Danio rerio: one gene and its partner. The protein of the gene in region 1 binds, or shares a complex with, the protein of each later gene. Links are inferred from orthologs where the notes say so. Each region holds a gene or a part of one and is shown in the gene's direction. Other genes may lie near its edges. The genes, in order: nup93 and nup62l.

Evidence for each region.
Region 2: nup93 (region 1) and nup62l share a complex: the UniProt entries of both Homo sapiens proteins name them as parts of the p62 complex. The link is inferred for Danio rerio from reciprocal best matches to the Homo sapiens genes NUP93 and NUP62.

What each region holds. Positions count from the first base shown.
Region 1 is NC_133193.1:18,945,495-18,958,554, forward strand, and holds part of nup93 (nuclear pore complex protein Nup93), read left to right. Parts: intron 1-1,723; coding exon 1,724-1,798; intron 1,799-3,946; coding exon 3,947-4,039; intron 4,040-4,146; coding exon 4,147-4,286; intron 4,287-5,434; coding exon 5,435-5,567; intron 5,568-5,788; coding exon 5,789-5,946; intron 5,947-6,146; coding exon 6,147-6,312; intron 6,313-6,485; coding exon 6,486-6,579; intron 6,580-8,557; coding exon 8,558-8,749; intron 8,750-8,831; coding exon 8,832-8,958; intron 8,959-10,947; coding exon 10,948-11,020; intron 11,021-11,118; coding exon 11,119-11,163; intron 11,164-11,409; coding exon 11,410-11,526; intron 11,527-11,609; coding exon 11,610-11,728; intron 11,729-13,060. UniProt on the Homo sapiens protein: Plays a role in the nuclear pore complex (NPC) assembly and/or maintenance. May anchor nucleoporins, but not NUP153 and TPR, to the NPC. During renal development, regulates podocyte migration and proliferation through SMAD4 signaling.
Region 2 is NC_133189.1:11,189,921-11,194,074, forward strand, and holds the start of nup62l (nucleoporin 62 like), read left to right. Parts: upstream 1-1,354; 5' UTR 1,355-1,370; exon of another isoform or gene 1,371-1,454; intron 1,455-4,154. UniProt on the Homo sapiens protein: Essential component of the nuclear pore complex. The N-terminal is probably involved in nucleocytoplasmic transport.

The sequences.
Region 1 (13,060 bases):
TACTCCCAAAATAATTCCACAGAAATCCGCAGATTTTTACCAAAATTCTCAGCAGATATAGCAAAAAAACGTCCGCAGATTCCATCTGGTCCTTCCTATATTATATTATATTATATTATATAATATTATATTATATTATATTGTATTATATTATATTATATTATATTATATTATATTATATTATATCATATTATATTAAAGCAGCCAGTCGTGTGACTGTAAAATAAAATGACATTGTCTGCTTTTGAAGGGCATTTCTCATAAATAAAGATTTTTAATATATAATAAAGACTTCTGGCAGCACTGCTCACCTCCTCGTTGTCAAAAGAATGGAGAAAGGAGTAAGAGGGAAGGATGTAGAAAAACATCAAACATTGAAGATGACAAGCACTCCTCTTCTGATTAATATATACCCCCAAAAAACGCAGACACGCATGTTTCACTTTTTATGTCCTCAAGTGGAACAATAGTCTGTCTATGACAAACAATGACAGTCTTTTGGAGAAGATGAAACCTCAGAATATGCTTTTGTCTTTTTTCCTTCTTTTGTCTTATAAAGCATTCAAGAAGAACATGTACGAGTAGAGTTAGTCACAAATGCATGCAAGTTTGTGTGCTCCAGGAGATTTTTGACTGCTGTCCTGCTGCTTTAATTATTAAACAGCAGTTAAATTTTCCATGTGTGACCTGCTGTTCGCTTCCTATGCCAGGAGCTCACTCTTCCTTGTAGCACCAGCCTGGGTCAACCCCCTCCCCGATACACAGTCACTACAACGCCTCAGTGAATTTTTAGCCAGGCTGTTCATGGAATTTGCTGCTTGGAAGTGTGTATGTGTGTGTGTTTCGAAATAATTTCAATCAAAGCACCGTATGTTTTATGGATGTTAGATTTAGTGAGCGCGTTTAGATGCACATTCTTAACCCAATTGTGCTTAATAAGCCGACAGTGCACGTGGTCAAGTAAATGTGTTAACCCATTTTGCTTTATGCTTTTTATAAATGGGTTAAACATAAACTGATCATCGCAGCTAAAATTGTGGCCCTCACACCGATTTCATCCAGTATGTCAGTTGTAGTGTGAATGTGTGATAAGTGACCGGAACACCTCTTCACTGCGCATTTAAGCAGGTATACTGTAGGCAGAGCAAATGTTTTGCAGCAAGACCCAAGTGTGTTCTTTTCTCATGCAACAGAAGTGGTACAATTAAAATTCTGCATCTTTAGAGGATCATATATTTGGTTTTTGAGGATTTATTAAACATGACAGTCACAAATACTTGAAATTGGATAGAAATGAACAGATTTAAACATAAAGTTTGTTTTATTTGCACGTAAATTGTAAAATAAGCATGTTTTTTGTAGGTTATCAGCGTACAAATGTGCTCACTCTTTATTTATATTTCTTTAAAAATGAATTTATTCTAATCCACAAGGAAAATGTGTGGGTTTTGTGTTTTCCTCTGTGTGTGTTCACAGTCCTGAGCAGTGTGCTCTCATGCGCGAGTTATGTTCTTCACAATAGCTTCACGCTACATTGGTCACTGCGTTTAGATTACTCTGCGAGATAAACTCTCCGAGATAAACGCAGCTTGTGCACTTGTCAAACCCACGCTTTTAGAGACTCGCATATATACACACCTACACATGTGGAGAATATTAATACAGCCTGCTCGTGTAGATATGCTTGTTTGAGCCTTAACGACTGTTGCTATGTGCCCAACAGCCCAGTTTCGTGAGCGAGGTCGGAGTTCCTGGACGCAGTGCGCTGGACAGTGTGGAAGTGGCCTATAGCCGACAGGTTTGTAGAAAGACATTCATGTATAGCATAAACATAAATGCGCATAAATGCATAAACACACATGCAGAACCATGTGTAAAAAAAGAAATGAAAATTATAGAAGAAATATATAATCTTTAAAAAATTCATGTTAAAAATGTATGTTATTTATAAATAGTCTAAATAAAATCAAAACATGAAGCATGAATCCCATCATCTCTATCTATCTATATATTTGTCTATCCATCTATCTGTGTATCTGTATATCTATATTTATCTCTATCTATCTATCTATCTATCTATCTATCTATCTATCTATCTATCTATCTATCTATCTATCTATCTATCTATCTATCTATCTATCTATCTATCTGTCTATCCATCTATCTATCATCTATCTATCTATCTATCTATCTATCTATCTATCTATCTATCTATCTATCTATCTATCTATCTATCTATCTATCTATCTATCTATCTATCCGTCTATCCATCCATCTGTCTATCCGTCTATCTATCTATCTATCTATCTATCTATCTATCTATCTATCTATCTATCTATCTATCTATCTATCTATCTATCTATCTATCTATCTATCTATCTATCTATCTATATCTATCTGTCTATCCATCCATCCATCCATCCGTCTATCCGTCTATCCATCTATCCATCCATCTATCCATCTATCTATCTGTCTATCCGTCTATCTGTCTGTCTGTCTGTCTGTCTGTCTGTCTGTCTATCTATCTATCTATCTGTCTGTCTGTCTGTCTGTCTGTCTGTGTGTGTGTGTGTGTGTGTGTGTGTGTGTGTGTGTGTGTGTGTGTGTGTGTGTGTGTGTGTGTGTGTGTATTGATATCAATGGTCACATCGCATAGATATGCAATATTAAGTTTGGATTTTATTTGAGGAAGAGTCACAGTTCAGAACATGAGATTTGTGGAATTACTGCAGAGTTTAAACATAATGGAGTGAAATTGTATCATTTGTATGATTTTAAGACCTGAGAGAGTTATTTAGTTATTTAGGCACAAGACATTATACCAATTAGAAGTTTATAAAGAATAATTGTATTAAATTATTTAGACATCAAAAACTGTGCAGCGTAATTTTAACATTTACAAAACCTAAGCCAATACCTAAGGGACCCTAATGTATGTTAATAAGCAACAAATTAGAAGTTTATTGAAGCAAAAGCCATAGTTAATGGATGGCCAATTGTGGGAAGTGAGCCTTAAAATAAAGTGCGACTATGAATTCTTTCCAACCAGTGCTATTCAATCATTTGGTGAAATTGTGTAGATGCATTTTATTACAATATATCTAGCAGAAAAATAAAATATTGCAATGTCAGATTTTTCCAATATTATGTAGCCCTAATATTTAAGCAAAACAAATATAACAATTTTACTCAAACCCATGCCTAATGAATCTAGTAAATCCAAGGATGCTGAGTATTTTTTGGGTGGAAATAAATTAATCTATGCCCAATACATTTTATTAAATTCATTATTTTTAACTTATTTTTTAAATAGCACTATAGAAATATATTGCAATAATTTATAAATTGAGTTATAAATCAATATTATAGAATGAGCCAGCAGTGCAATAATTTATATTAGAAAATATATCTTGGTATTCCTATTTAAACATTAAAAAGAGAAGGAATAAAGACTCAAAATAAGCAGAAGTATAATCACTAGTGATAAAACATGAAATCCTGATTATATTTTTTACTAAGTCTGCATTGTTATGTAGTTAAGCTTATCTTTTTCTCTGTCAGTTAGCTAGACAGAAAAATAAATGTGTCGTGTTTTGTGAGCTGAGCTCGATTGATTGAAATGATTGATTGGCTGGAAAGAAGCATGATGGGTAGGCTCTGGATCTGTCCATAAATGGGAGGGCTGTCTCTAACTCTCACTTCTTTTGTTCGGCTCTTTATGGTCCGATAACTCTTTTATTGCCTTTGTCTTTTTTTCTGTGTAATCATGTGTCGCCACATCGCCTGCGGAGTCATCTTCTTGGTGTTTGTGCTTTTTTTCGACGACCTTCTAAACATTTTCATCCTGTTTGTTTTGTTTTTCATCATTCTTCACTTCACTTCCAGATCATAGCAGATCAGCCTCAGCTCGTCCATTCTCAATCTGCACCTTTCTTCTGTCCTTTAGATCTACGTCTTCAATGAAAAGATAGTAAATGGCCATCTTCAGCCAAACCTGGGAGATCTGTGTGCCTCTGTGGCCGAAAGTCTGGATGATAAGGTTTGTAACACTCAGTTTGTGTGTGTGTTCCTGAATGTGTTCAGAAAAATGAGGGAGTGATTGCTTTAATAGAGATTGTGTAAAGTTGTTTGTGCATGCATTTGTAGAACGTGTCAGAAATGTGGCTCATGGTGAAGCAGATGACAGACGTCCTGCTGGTGCCAGCAAAAGACACTCTGAAGAGTCGAGTGTCTGTGGACATGCAGATGGCCTTCGTCAGACAAGCCCTGCAGTTCCTGGAGAACAGGTGAGATGGTTGATGCATAACATTTTGTTATTTATTATGATGCTTATATTTTTTGCATTATTGGGATTGGGAACTCGGAAGCTCAAAACGCAATGGAGCTACACTATGTGTCAGTGCGCTGCCTTTGTACAAATTTTTGTACCATTATCTTATAGTTCTTATATTATCTTATAGAATAGTTCCAGATTTGCCCTTGGTACTGACTGATCTAATGTATATGCACACATGTATTATTGTAAAGCATCTAATAGAAAATATTAATTTAAAAGAGATATATGTGAGGGGTGTACTTATTTAGGCTAAGCACTGTATATATCATATCTGAACTATTTAATTGGCTTAGTTTTCTACTTATGAATTATGATTTGAGTGATTTTATAATGAGTCAGCCAAACATCTTTTCATATCAACATAACCACTGTTAAGCCTTCCTTACAATAAAACGTTATTAAAATATGAAATTTTAAAGACTACTAAACAAGATTTGTACACCGAGAACACTACTGTTTTAAGAATTGTATACCTGGGGAGAAGTTATTTATCATTATATAGAAATAAAAAAGTATATCTAATGTTTTAATGTAGTATTTATTTTTCTATTAAATTATAAAGTTGTTATTGTAATGTAATAAGGTTTTATGTTTATTAATCTTTCCATGAAATAGCCATACATTGCTGGTTTTGCAATAAATAAACAAACAAACAAAATCTATATACAGTTGAAGTCAAAATTAGTAGCTAAAGAATAAACCACTGTTATACAATGACTTGCCTAATTACTGTATGTTGCACAGTTAACCCAATTAACTAATTTAATTTAAATTGCACTTTAAGCTGAATACTAGTGTCTTGACAAAATATCTAGTAAAATATTATTTACTGTCATCATGGCAAAGATAAAATAAATCAGTCATTAGAAATGAATTATTAAAACTATTGTTTAGAAATGTGTTGAAAAAATCTGATTTCCTTCATACAGAAATTGGGGAAAAATATATAAGGGGTAATAATCCAGGAGACTTCAACTGTATATAATTCTGTATATTTCTATATTAAAAGTAATGTAGATGAACTGGTCTGAAAGTTTGTGAACCCGGTGTCTGCTTAATCCAGTTGAAAAACGAACTGCTTGTCTCTCTCTTCTACAGCTATAAAAATTACACCCTGGTCACTGTGTTTGGGAATCTGCATCAGGCTCAGCTGGGTGGAGTGCCTGGGACTTATCAGCTCGTATGCAGCTTCCTGAACATCAAGCTGCCGACGCCGCTGCCAGGCATGCAGGTACTGCAGTAAAACGTGCCCTCACCACACTACATCATACAGACTAAACGCCATCACTGCAGATACTCTCGAGTGTGCTTTGCAGCAGTTTAGATAATAGCAGCGGAGTCTCCCTGCATGGGCCAGTAAGCTGCTTATTTCAGACCTGAAAGTAAAAAGGGGGTAAATGAATGTGGTGTGACCCGAGGATAAAGCCTGCTGCGTGTGCACATGTGTAACAGGACGGCGAGGTGGAGGGACATCCGGTGTGGGCTCTGATCTATTTCTGCCTGCGTTGTGGAGATCTGTCTGCCGCCATGCAGGTGGTGAACAAGGCACAGCATCAGCTGGGAGACTTTAAGATCTGGTTCCAAGAATACATGAACAGCCCTGACCGACGGTGAGAACACCCACACACACACACACACATACCCCAAAAACTAGATCACATCCTAAGAGGACTGTTTCTCCTCCATTTTTGGGAACTGCTTCTTTCTCTTGCGTGCTTGACCTAGGTTGCTCCTTTTTTTGTCTTTCATGCATAAGATTACATTGAAGCTGAATAATTAATTAAATCTGAATTTCTGAAATTCTTCTCAGTTTGTCGCCAGCCACAGAGAATAAGCTACGGCTGCATTACCGGCGTGTGCTCAGGAACAGCGCAGACCCTTATAAGCGTGCTGTTTACTGTCTCATCGGCAAATGCGACATCGGCGACAATCATGGGGAGGTGGCTGATAAGACGGAGGATTACCTGTGGCTCAAGGTCAGAAATGATGACTGATTTTGATTTATCATAGTTTAATATAGTTGTTTTTTACATGCAAATACTAGATGATCAATGAAAAAGAGTGTTTTAGAGATGCTAATAAGAAAGGGATTTATACTTGGATTCTTCTTGATTTGAGTAGTTTAAATGGTGCTGTGTGTCCCTACCAGCTGAATCAAGTGTGTTTTGATGAGGACGGCAGCAGTTCCCCTCAGGACCGAATGACTTTGGCACAACTTCAGAAACAGCTGCTTGAAGACTATGGTGAGAGTCACAGTGACTTATATAAATAAGCAGGACATGTATTCATAAAAAAATGTTATTATACATAAATTTTTGGTTGCTAATGTACATATTTATGGCTCAGAGATTAGATATTTCGGTATTTGTGTCATAAATTGTACAAAGATTGTTTTATACATAGAAATTATATTAAATGTAACAAAGTGTTTGTTTTGATAATTCAATCGACTTTTGTGAAAATGTTAAAATATGTGTAAAATAATAATCTTTTTTTAGTGTAACATATATATTTATGTGAAAAATAAAGGATGTTGTTATTTCGACGTGCACATAAGTATGACAAACAAGACTTTGGTATATAAACCAAGGTTAAAATGAATGGCATTTTTATAGGTGTATTTGAGAAAATTATGTTTAATATGTCTGAATATGGTGGCGCAGTGGCGCAGTAGGTAGTGCTCCGGTTTCCCCCACAGTGGTACAGGTGAATTGGGTAGGCTAAATTGTTCATAGTGTATGTGTGTGAATGAGAGTGTATGGGTTTCTCAGTGATGGGTTGCAGCTGGAAGGGCATCCGTTTCGTAAAACATATGCTGGATAAGTTGGCAGTTAATTCCGCTGGGGTGACGGTAGATTAATAAGGGGACTAAACCAAAAAGAAAATGAATAAATTAATATCTGATTATGATTTCACAAAAATGACAGACTCTCAGGAGACTCTTATGTACTGGAAGAAAAATACATTAAAAGCTTTATTACACCTATTGTTTTGATGCTTAAAAACAATATTTTTTGGCTTGTACCCAGCTAATCATCTCGCAAAACAAAAATTAAGAGAATTCAAATTGGTTTACTGTATTTGCCATAAATAGTAGATGTTTTGTATTACATCTAGTTTATAAACTACTGATTCAGCAAGGGTAAATATAATATATTGCATGGTTCAGGATTGGTAGAGCTACACATCGATGAATTGGCTCTTCAGTGTTTGAACTCTCAGTAATGATTAAATCACACTGAACTGAGCTAAACTGAACTGAACTGAACTTAAACACTAAAACCTGAACCACACTGTTCCAGTTACTGAACCACACTGTTCCAGTTACTATGACCATTTATGTGAAGCTGCTTTGACACAATCTACATTGTAAAAGCGCTATACAAATAAAGCTGAATTGAATTGAATTGAATATATTCCATGTTTTAGATCTTAAATACTGGTAAAAATGTATGTGTGTGTGTGTGTGTGTGCGTGTGTGTATGTATATATATATATATATATATATATATATATATATATATATATATATATATATATATATATATATATATATATATATATATATATGCTGTACATAGTTTTACATATAAAACGATTTAAATTATTCCATTAAGTCATCCCAGTTATCTAAAGGAAGAGGTTTAAATGGGCATTTGAAAAACTAGGAAGTAAGTCAGTATGCAAAACCTCCCATTCAGTCTCTGCCAGTGTGTGCCTAGCCCAGATAAAAGTGCATGTCATTGTGCTGTTTTCTCATGGCTTAAACTTCTCCTCGCCCAGTTTTAAAAAGGCATCCGCTTAGTTTCCTCCACCTGCCTGATGAGTCAGTCTTATCTCGCCGGCACTCCTGCAGTACACCACATTAAAGACTCGCTCTTTTGCTGATAAGACTCCTTCACTCCCAGCTGCGCTGCCATTACGCTCCATGCAAAGTCGCAGCGGGTCTTTTCAATGCCGCTTTAAGACGTCAGTTTTAACGGCAATTTAAATGAGAGGGGATTATTTCAACTTGCGCAAATGGAAATGAAACAGCCTATTTAAGCACTTCACAGCCGAGGAAGATTTACATGGAACCTATTACTCGCTTAAAGAAGCATTTAAATTCCTTATGTGACAAATCCGTACTGGCTGCATGTGCCCATTGCCAGTGTGTGCTTTATGTGTGTTCTGTAAGTGGTTTTGCTCATAAAGATGTGTGGCATGAATTGTTTTCTGCAGGTGAGTCCCATTTTTCAGCCAGCCACCAGCCCTTCTTGTACTTCCAAGTGCTTTTCCTGACGGCGCAGTTTGAGGCGGCCATCGCGTTTCTCTTCAGAGTGGAGCGTCTGCGCAGCCATGCCGTTCACGTTGCTCTGGTGCTGTACGAACTCAAACTCCTGCTCAAATCATCAGGACAGAGCGCTCAACTCTGTAAGTTGTGACTATTGAGCGTTAAGTGAGAACTTAAAAATTTATCTTGTTTGTAATATTTTTTCTGATCTTTTTTTTTAAGTGAGTCAAGAAGCTGGAGATCCTCCAATGGTGCGACGGCTAAACTTCATCAGGCTGCTTATGTTGTACACACGCAAATTTGAGTCCACTGATCCGCGAGAAGCCCTGCAGTACTTCTACTTTCTCCGGTAATGGGCATTCTATACTTAAGGGTCACAAAACCTTTGTTTTTCAGTTTAGGTCTATCTCAGAATGAAAAAGCTATTTACATAGGTTTGGAAAGTTGTAAGCAGAAGGAAGAGAAGTGAGGGTGATGGGGAAAAGCTGGAGAAAAAGAACACAGCAAACAACTGTCGTTTGTCTTTCATACTGTCATAATGACTTAAAAATTTGCTTAGCAGCGCTCAATGTACAATGGGAAATGCTGATATAGTCACATTTGTTTACAATTCAGTACAAATTTGTAGAATTTAGTATGTCTATTGGCATTAGAGCAGTAATAAGGCCAACAATTTAGGCCATAGCCTGACAGAATTCGGCCCGAGCCTGACAAGTACATTTTGATTTACAGCTTTTTAAAAGTTTAACATTATTCAAATGTGCACATGCACACAGCTCTTTTACCTTTTTTTCAAGAATGAGTCGTTTATTTGTGTTTTAACATCATTTATTCATAACAAACGTAGGCTATAGGCCACTTAGAAGTTGGAACAAAGAAATAAAATAAGTCCTCTTTCCTAACAAATAAATTAATGACAGGTATTTGGCAATACCGAAATTAAGATGAAGGTTCTGCGGGATTTGTTTCACCACTGCTCTTCACAATCTGGCCTTAAGGCGAAGCTGAATGTTAAAATAATAATGCCAGCATTAGCCTGTGTACTCTAACTACATTATGCATTTTTTATTTAATTAATATTTAATTATAATTTGAAAATTCTTCACTCATTAAGATTATGCTATGTGTTTTTGTGGAGGAAAATTATTTAATCAGTCCTGGAAAAAGAGGACATTGAAACTGCTGCCATGGAAAATGAAATAAATGTTCTTGGCTGGTGGAAGATGAACAAACAATCCTACCTAAAACTTGCAAAATTAGCCAGATCAGTATGCCTCCCGGCCTGTAGCAGCAGCAGTGAAAGGGTGATCAGTGCTGTTGGATGCACCATCAGTGAGCGCATGACCAATCAATTCCCACTCCACAAAACTTGCTCTTTTTGACTTCTCTGTTATCATTTGTTTCACCTTTGCAAGGCTGTAACAAACGATTTGATTACTTTCTCACACTAATTGAAATGCATTACATGACTATTAATTTACCATGCAAGCCCGAGCCTGCCCCAACCCTGTCTAAAATGATCTTTAGCTCTAATTGGCATCGCAACCCATTGTGAACACCTTGCTGCACATTCTCACAGCTTGAATAAATTATTCAGAATCAGTAACTCTTATGGGATAAAAAAAAACTCAGTCTCATGAATAATAATTGGAGACAGATGCATCATCGAAGTACTCACAGTCCTATTGTACGTCACTATCAGTAATGCTGCACTGATAGAGATTTTAAACCTGCAAGATGAAACTAGCTCAAAAGCTAGTAGTTCCTTACAATTAAAACTAACAGATGCTAACATTATTGTTCAACAAACATAAAGCTGTAAAAGCCTCATCAAATTTAGTAGAGGATTTCGTCAGCCTTTAAGTAATGCTATTGGGTTATTTGGAGTAACATACTAAAAGAGCTGATGTTAGATTAGATACGTTGAACAGCTATTAAGGAAGCCTATACAAAGCTATTATGAAATAAACTTGTTTCCTGTTTGATCAGTGGCTGAACTGTAAGTCATGTCTTTTTCTCTGAATATACTGTGCGGAAATCCCTCTCCGAGAAGAGATTAATGTGTCATGAATAACTCAGAACCTTCCATGAATGATCCATGAATAATTAAACCTGCTTCATGCACACTGTGAATTCGATGCTAACTCGACCCATTGTTTTAAAAGACCCCACAGCCACTAGTACAAAAAGGAAGCAGTTGATCTTCTTAAGGTCTTTTATCTCAGGGTTTGCATGCATGTCACAAAGCGAACATGTTCCTTTGAATCTTTTATGCCACAAACTGGATAATTGCTGTACTGCAACAAACTAACAATCACTGCTCTCCTACTGGCCACAGGAATGAGAAGGACAGTCAAGGAGAAAACATGTTTATGCGCTGTGTCAGCGAGCTAGTCATCGAGAGTCGAGAGGTAAGAAACTTTGTAAGCTCATTGGAGGAAGGGTTTCTGCATACTAATTGCTGTTATCATTACATAATTCCTGTCAATACTTAACTCTCTTCCTGCAGTTCGATATGCTTCTTGGAAGGCTTGAAAAAGATGGAAGCAGAAAGGTATGTTGGAGGCTTTTGTTGTAATATCACCTGACTGGCAGACAGCGAACGTGCCCACTGTTCATTCTTGGAACCCATTGTGAAAAGCTTGTTCGTTCAGGCTTTCAGGGTTGTGTAGAATGTGCTATTGTCTCGCAGGGCCTGTACAACACACTCCGGCTTTTCATGCTCAAGGCTTATTGACAAACACCATTGTGCATTCAGAGTCCTGCTTGCTCTAAGCAGTGTTTGTTTGAATCCATTCAGCCTGGTGTGATTGACAAGTTTGCCGGAGACACGCGGGCCATCATTACCAAAGTAGCCTCTGAGGCCGAGAACAAGGGATTGTTTGAGGAGGCCGTCAAACTCTACGAGTTAGCCAAGGTAAGATAAGCTGAGACGGACCTTTGGGTTTAGCAGTCTCTTGTAATTGTGCCTAAAACATTTTTTTTTATTTCCTGCTCCAGAATGCTGATAAGGTTTTGGAGCTGATGAATAAATTGTTGAGTCCAGTCATCGCTCAAGTCAGCGAACCTCAGTCCAACAAAGAGCGACTCAAAAACATGGCAGTGGCTATTGCTGAAAGGTGAGCATTATGAAACTAAGTATTTCGGTCACACTTTACAATAAGGTTTCATTAGTTTATGTATTGATTAACATGAGCTACTTATAAACAATGCTTCTACAGCATTTATTAATCATAGTTCAACGTTGTATAGTGCATAAGTAACATTCAAATTCATGCTTTACTGTGTATTGTTCATTAGTAAATGCATTAACTAATACAACCTTATTGTAAAGTGTTACCAGTATTTCTAAACATTAAAAAAAAAATTATGACTAAACTGACTATTTACGACTATTATTTATGACTAAATCTAACAATTATGAATTATTAAAATGTGTTATGAGTTTCAACATTCTATTCAAGTTTCAAAATTTCAACTGAAAGTATTAGTTGACCCAAAAATCTAAATTCCGTTATTAATTACTCATCCTCATGTCATTCCAGTCTCCACCCTTTAATCATTTTTGAAGAACAAGTTAAGATTCATTCATTTTCTTTTCGCCTTAGTCCCTTTATTAATCTGGTCTCGCCACAGCGGAATAAATTATCCAGCATATGTTTTTTGCAGCGAATGCCCTTCCAGCTGCAACCCCTCACTGGAAAACATCCATACACACACAATTACACACATACACTACGGGCAATTTAGCTTACCGAATTCACCTATACAATATGTCTTTGGACTTGTGGGGGAAACCGAAGCACCTTGAGCAAACCCACGTGAACACGAGGAGAACATGCAAACTCCATACAGAATCGCCAACTGACCCAGCCGGGGCTCGAACCAGCGACCTTCTTGCTGTTAGGCGATCGTGCTATCCACTGACGCCCTACAAATTGAGATATTTTAGATTAAATAAAAGAGCGGTCTGAAGCTCCATTTACAGCAAAGGTTGTGCAATGTTTAAAGTCCAGAAATGGAAGCAAAAACATACAAATCATGCAAAGATATGGGGAATACAAAATCTAATACTAATACGTCATATTGCACCATGCACCCTAATGACCAGACCAGAGAAGACACTGGCTAACAAAGTTGTGTTTACAGTTTTGTGACACACAACAGTGTTCTTGGATCTTCATATGATTACAGTTGAAGCATTAAAGTCATATGGAGTGTTAGACAATGTTTTTGACTCCTTTTCTGGACTTTCAACATTGCTGTCTATGGAAGATGAAGGAGCTCTCGGATTTAATCTCAAATCTGTTTGTATTTATATTGCACTATTTTTACTTTCTACCTTCCAATGGAGAGTTATATCTTCCAGTCATGACTTTATATCACCCAATAGTGACTTTGTGTCTTCCAGTTGCTATATCCCGTTTTCAATAGTGACTTAACATCTTACT
Region 2 (4,154 bases), on another chromosome or scaffold:
AAAAACGAACAGGTCTATTAAATACAAAGCAATAAGCATAAATTCTAGGAGTTAAACATCAATCTTTAGGCTAATACTTCTTGTTTGAATCTGCTAAAAAAGGGTTTACATATATGTACATTTATAGATATAAAAATTTCCCATGTAAAAAGCAAAACAAGGTGTTTTGATTAGGTCTTAATAAATGACATTATTTTGGATGATGAATGAATTTTCAAAAAAGCATTTTAATCCAAAAAGATTGTGTTGAAAAGAACAAAAGGTAAAATAAGTGAGCGATGTAGAAGATTCCCAGAAAGAGCAGGTATACAGCCTTTAAACTGCTAGACAGAAAATAAAATATATATTTATATTATAATAATAAAGCCATTTTATAATTATTTAATAAAATAGTTCTTTACTTTAATTTGTTAAGAGAGCTTTAGGGTGGCAGGATCAATGATGATGATTTTCTTATTTCAAGTCTGTAAGACTTATTTGAGTTCATATTTAGGTTATTCACTAAAATATACACTAAAATATATCATTTAAATCGTTCATGGAGATGAATGCAGTAAATAGTCTGTATAAAAAAGTTTAAAAATAAACCTGTGCAAACAAGCTAACCTTTATAACCAGATTATTTAACAAAAGATGATTACTGCAGTAAAATATTTGTAGTCTTTTAATAAGCAAGATGTGTACAGGATAGAGAGGGTGTGAAAAGTGAATTGTTTGTTTTGAAACTTTTGAATCGGAATTTGTCCAATTATAAACCCGAAATACACGTGTTTGTTGTCATGTGGTGAACTCGGCCAATCGTGTAATATCGGTGTCGTCATCAAAGCTCCTGCAGTCGCTCTTCAGAAGCTGCATGGTCTGAGTTTGCCGTCTGATCTCGGAGCGCTGTCGCGGTACTTTGATGCCACATGTGACAGTCACGTGGCGTCGGCGCAGCATCAATCCGGACAAGATTTCTAACCAGAATGCACCGCTTTAAGACAGATTTCGATCGATCTGCGCAGCGCTGCATGAAGTCGAACGCACCTAATAAAAGAGAGAGAGAGGTCACCAACCTCATCACTGTCCTCACCAGTGCCCGCCCCGAACTCGTGCACACGACCTGCTGATAAACAATTATGTTTATAGACTTTTTAGTTAATGCAAAAATAAATTAACTAACTACATTCCTTTTAAATAAAATAATAACGATTTCTTTATCATTTGATGTTGTGGCTTATTACGACCTTTTATTTTAATGTGATGATGTTGCCACATAAGTCTGTAATTTTGAGCAGGCAGAATGTAGACCCTAGACAGATGACGCGAAGGTCCTGAAAGAAACTGCGCATGTGACGGATGCTGTGCGCGGGAGCTGCTGTGAAGTAGTTGTACGTTCTTTATCATTTTACATTTTATTTGTTGAAGTGTTTTATTTCACCTTGTGATGTGTAATGTGATCAACCTATCTTAAAGTAAGTACATTTGTGATGTAATTGTGGAGAAATCTGCATTGAGTTGGCGTAACGTGAGGAACTGTCAGCTAGCTGTTATCACTGAAGTGAAGCTAAAAACATATCCGTTCTCTTACTATGGCGTTCAATAATATTAAAGAGTCTATCACACGAAATGTTCATATCTAGAGAATTGTACGTAAGTTGCTCAGCTGCTTGCAACAGTTTAGCTATAATCTTATAATAGAGCTCAGTTGCTCATCATAACGCTGTCCCCAAACCCTGAGTGGCTTACGTACACATTTTTGCAATCAAATTTTTAAAGCTCCAAGAACATTTGCGTGTTGTTTGTAATGGTGAATATCTTGACCGTGTGCGTATCTAGATGAAAGGTTTGGTACGTGTTTTAAGCCTATTCCGCATAAGAGCATTACGATCTACAATGATGAGTTAATGTTGGTTAACTTCACACATCCACAACAATGTCTAAGTAACGTTATGATGAGATAACGTTACAATTATTAATTCGTTAAAAGGGGTAAAGTTGGTTTTGTACTTGCACATTCGGACTTTTTCCTTCATTCATTCATTTTTCTTTTTGGCTTAGTCCCTTTATTAATCTGAGGTCACCACAGCGGAATTAACCGGCAATTAATCCAACATATGAGCAATTCCAGCGTTATGGATGTGACATTTGCAGTAAAGCTCAAAACATAAATTCACATAGAAATGATATGTTAACATTATATTAAAACTTCTGTTTATATTTTCAGAATTACTGACCACAGAGTTACGGGACCAGAAAAATATTGATCTGTAAACATGTTTTGTACTTTATATGAGAAAAATAAACATGCAATATGGATGTGACAAAAAAAAAGTCTGCGGGTTTACAGTAGACAACATTCTTTGTAGAAATTCTGTAAACTGCACAACCCAAACAAAACAATGCTAATCAAAAGAATAAAGAGTTGCTCACTATAGAAGTATTTTACAGTACTTTAGAAATACGCAAGAATGCATCTGTTAATATTCTACAATTTCTGACCCGTTACATCTATAACGGATAGGTGTCGTTATGGATGTGACACCTCAACTATGGAAGGACATTTTAGCTTACCCAATTCACCAATACTGCATGTGTTTGGACTGTGGGTGAAACCGGAGCACCTAAAGGAAACCCACCCGAACATGGGGAGCACATCCAAACTCCACACAGAAATGCCAACTGGCCCAGCCAAGGCTAGAACCAGCAAACTTCTTGCTGTGAGGCGACAGCGCTACCCACTCTACCACCGTGCTGCACTTTTTCCTTAATATACTTGACAAATTCTAAATAGGTAAATCATATTAGAAGTGGCTTTCAAAGTACAACATTGATCACAGTCAATTAAATAGTGCTAATGTTGTTTTGAAGTCACGCTTGCATGCTATTTCAGAGGAAATACTCAAAAGTAGCGTGGTAAACAATATAGATAGCGTGCCATAAGTTGTCACTGTTCAAAAAGAATGAATGTGCGAATATAAAATCAACTTTACCTCAATCCATTATTTTTGCTGCTCCAGCTTTATATTAATTAGGAATATATTTCAAATTCATCTATGTGTATGAAGCAGGGTTTAGGCATGGGCCGGTATAAAATTATGTATATTAGTATGATAACCTTGGATAAAAATATCACTGTTTCAAGGTATTGGGATTACTGCGCTAAAATATATTCTTTGTAAATGTCTGGGTTAAAATCAAAAACTTTTTTACCCTTTTGAACATAGTATATCTAACATTTTAAATATTTTGGAACAGTAAACATGTTAGGCCAAATAAATTGACTTCTGCTGTCTTTGTTTGTTTAAATTTAATTTAAACATCTTCTCTGCTGGAGATATTATTGTCCTAAAAAAATCACAAATTAAAAATTGTACACATACCTTAGGAACGGTATTGCAGAAAATTTTGGCTGTTTTAAAACCTTGACTTTTTTCCAACCGCTGTATACCTTAAAAATATCGTCCCATACATAGCAGGTTTTTCACTGGAAATCCTTGAATATGCTTCAATTTTGATCTAGTGTTTTTTGGTGCTTCTGTGGTGCTTTCATAATAATTTGTTTTTAAGTAGGTAATTCTAGCGAACTATTTAAATAATTAGTTTTGCTCTTGCTGTGAGGCGTTCTTTTCACCGTGCTGCTCTGCTTGCGGCAAATATACCATCAAAATTTGTCCTTGAAATACTATACTAAAGTACCACAGAATACTATAGCAAATAGTATCTGGTATATTGTAGTATGAAGTATGTACAGTATGTGTATGTGCATGTTTATATGTAATTTACCACAATTGTATCTGCAGTGTGCTTGAAAATGCTCAAATTTGACTTTGAAAAATGTGTAAGAAGCCTAACAGGATATAAAATCATGAATTGTGTTTTGCTGCCTGACTTTGTAGAATAGAACTATTCTTATAATTAAAAATGATCATGTAGATGTTGACTCTGGATGGTTCATCCTAAGATTAAAACGTCATCATTTAGTCTCCCTCATGTGGTTTTAAACCTTTGAGTTTTTCATCTGTTGAACACAGAAGATAATTTGCAAAATGCTGGTTGCAGGTACCCATTGACTTCCATAGTTGGAAAAAAATGCAGTGCTTAAAGCATTCTTCAAAATATCACCTTTTGTGCTCGAACCGAAGAAAGAAACTCTATAAAGGCTGAGTAGATAA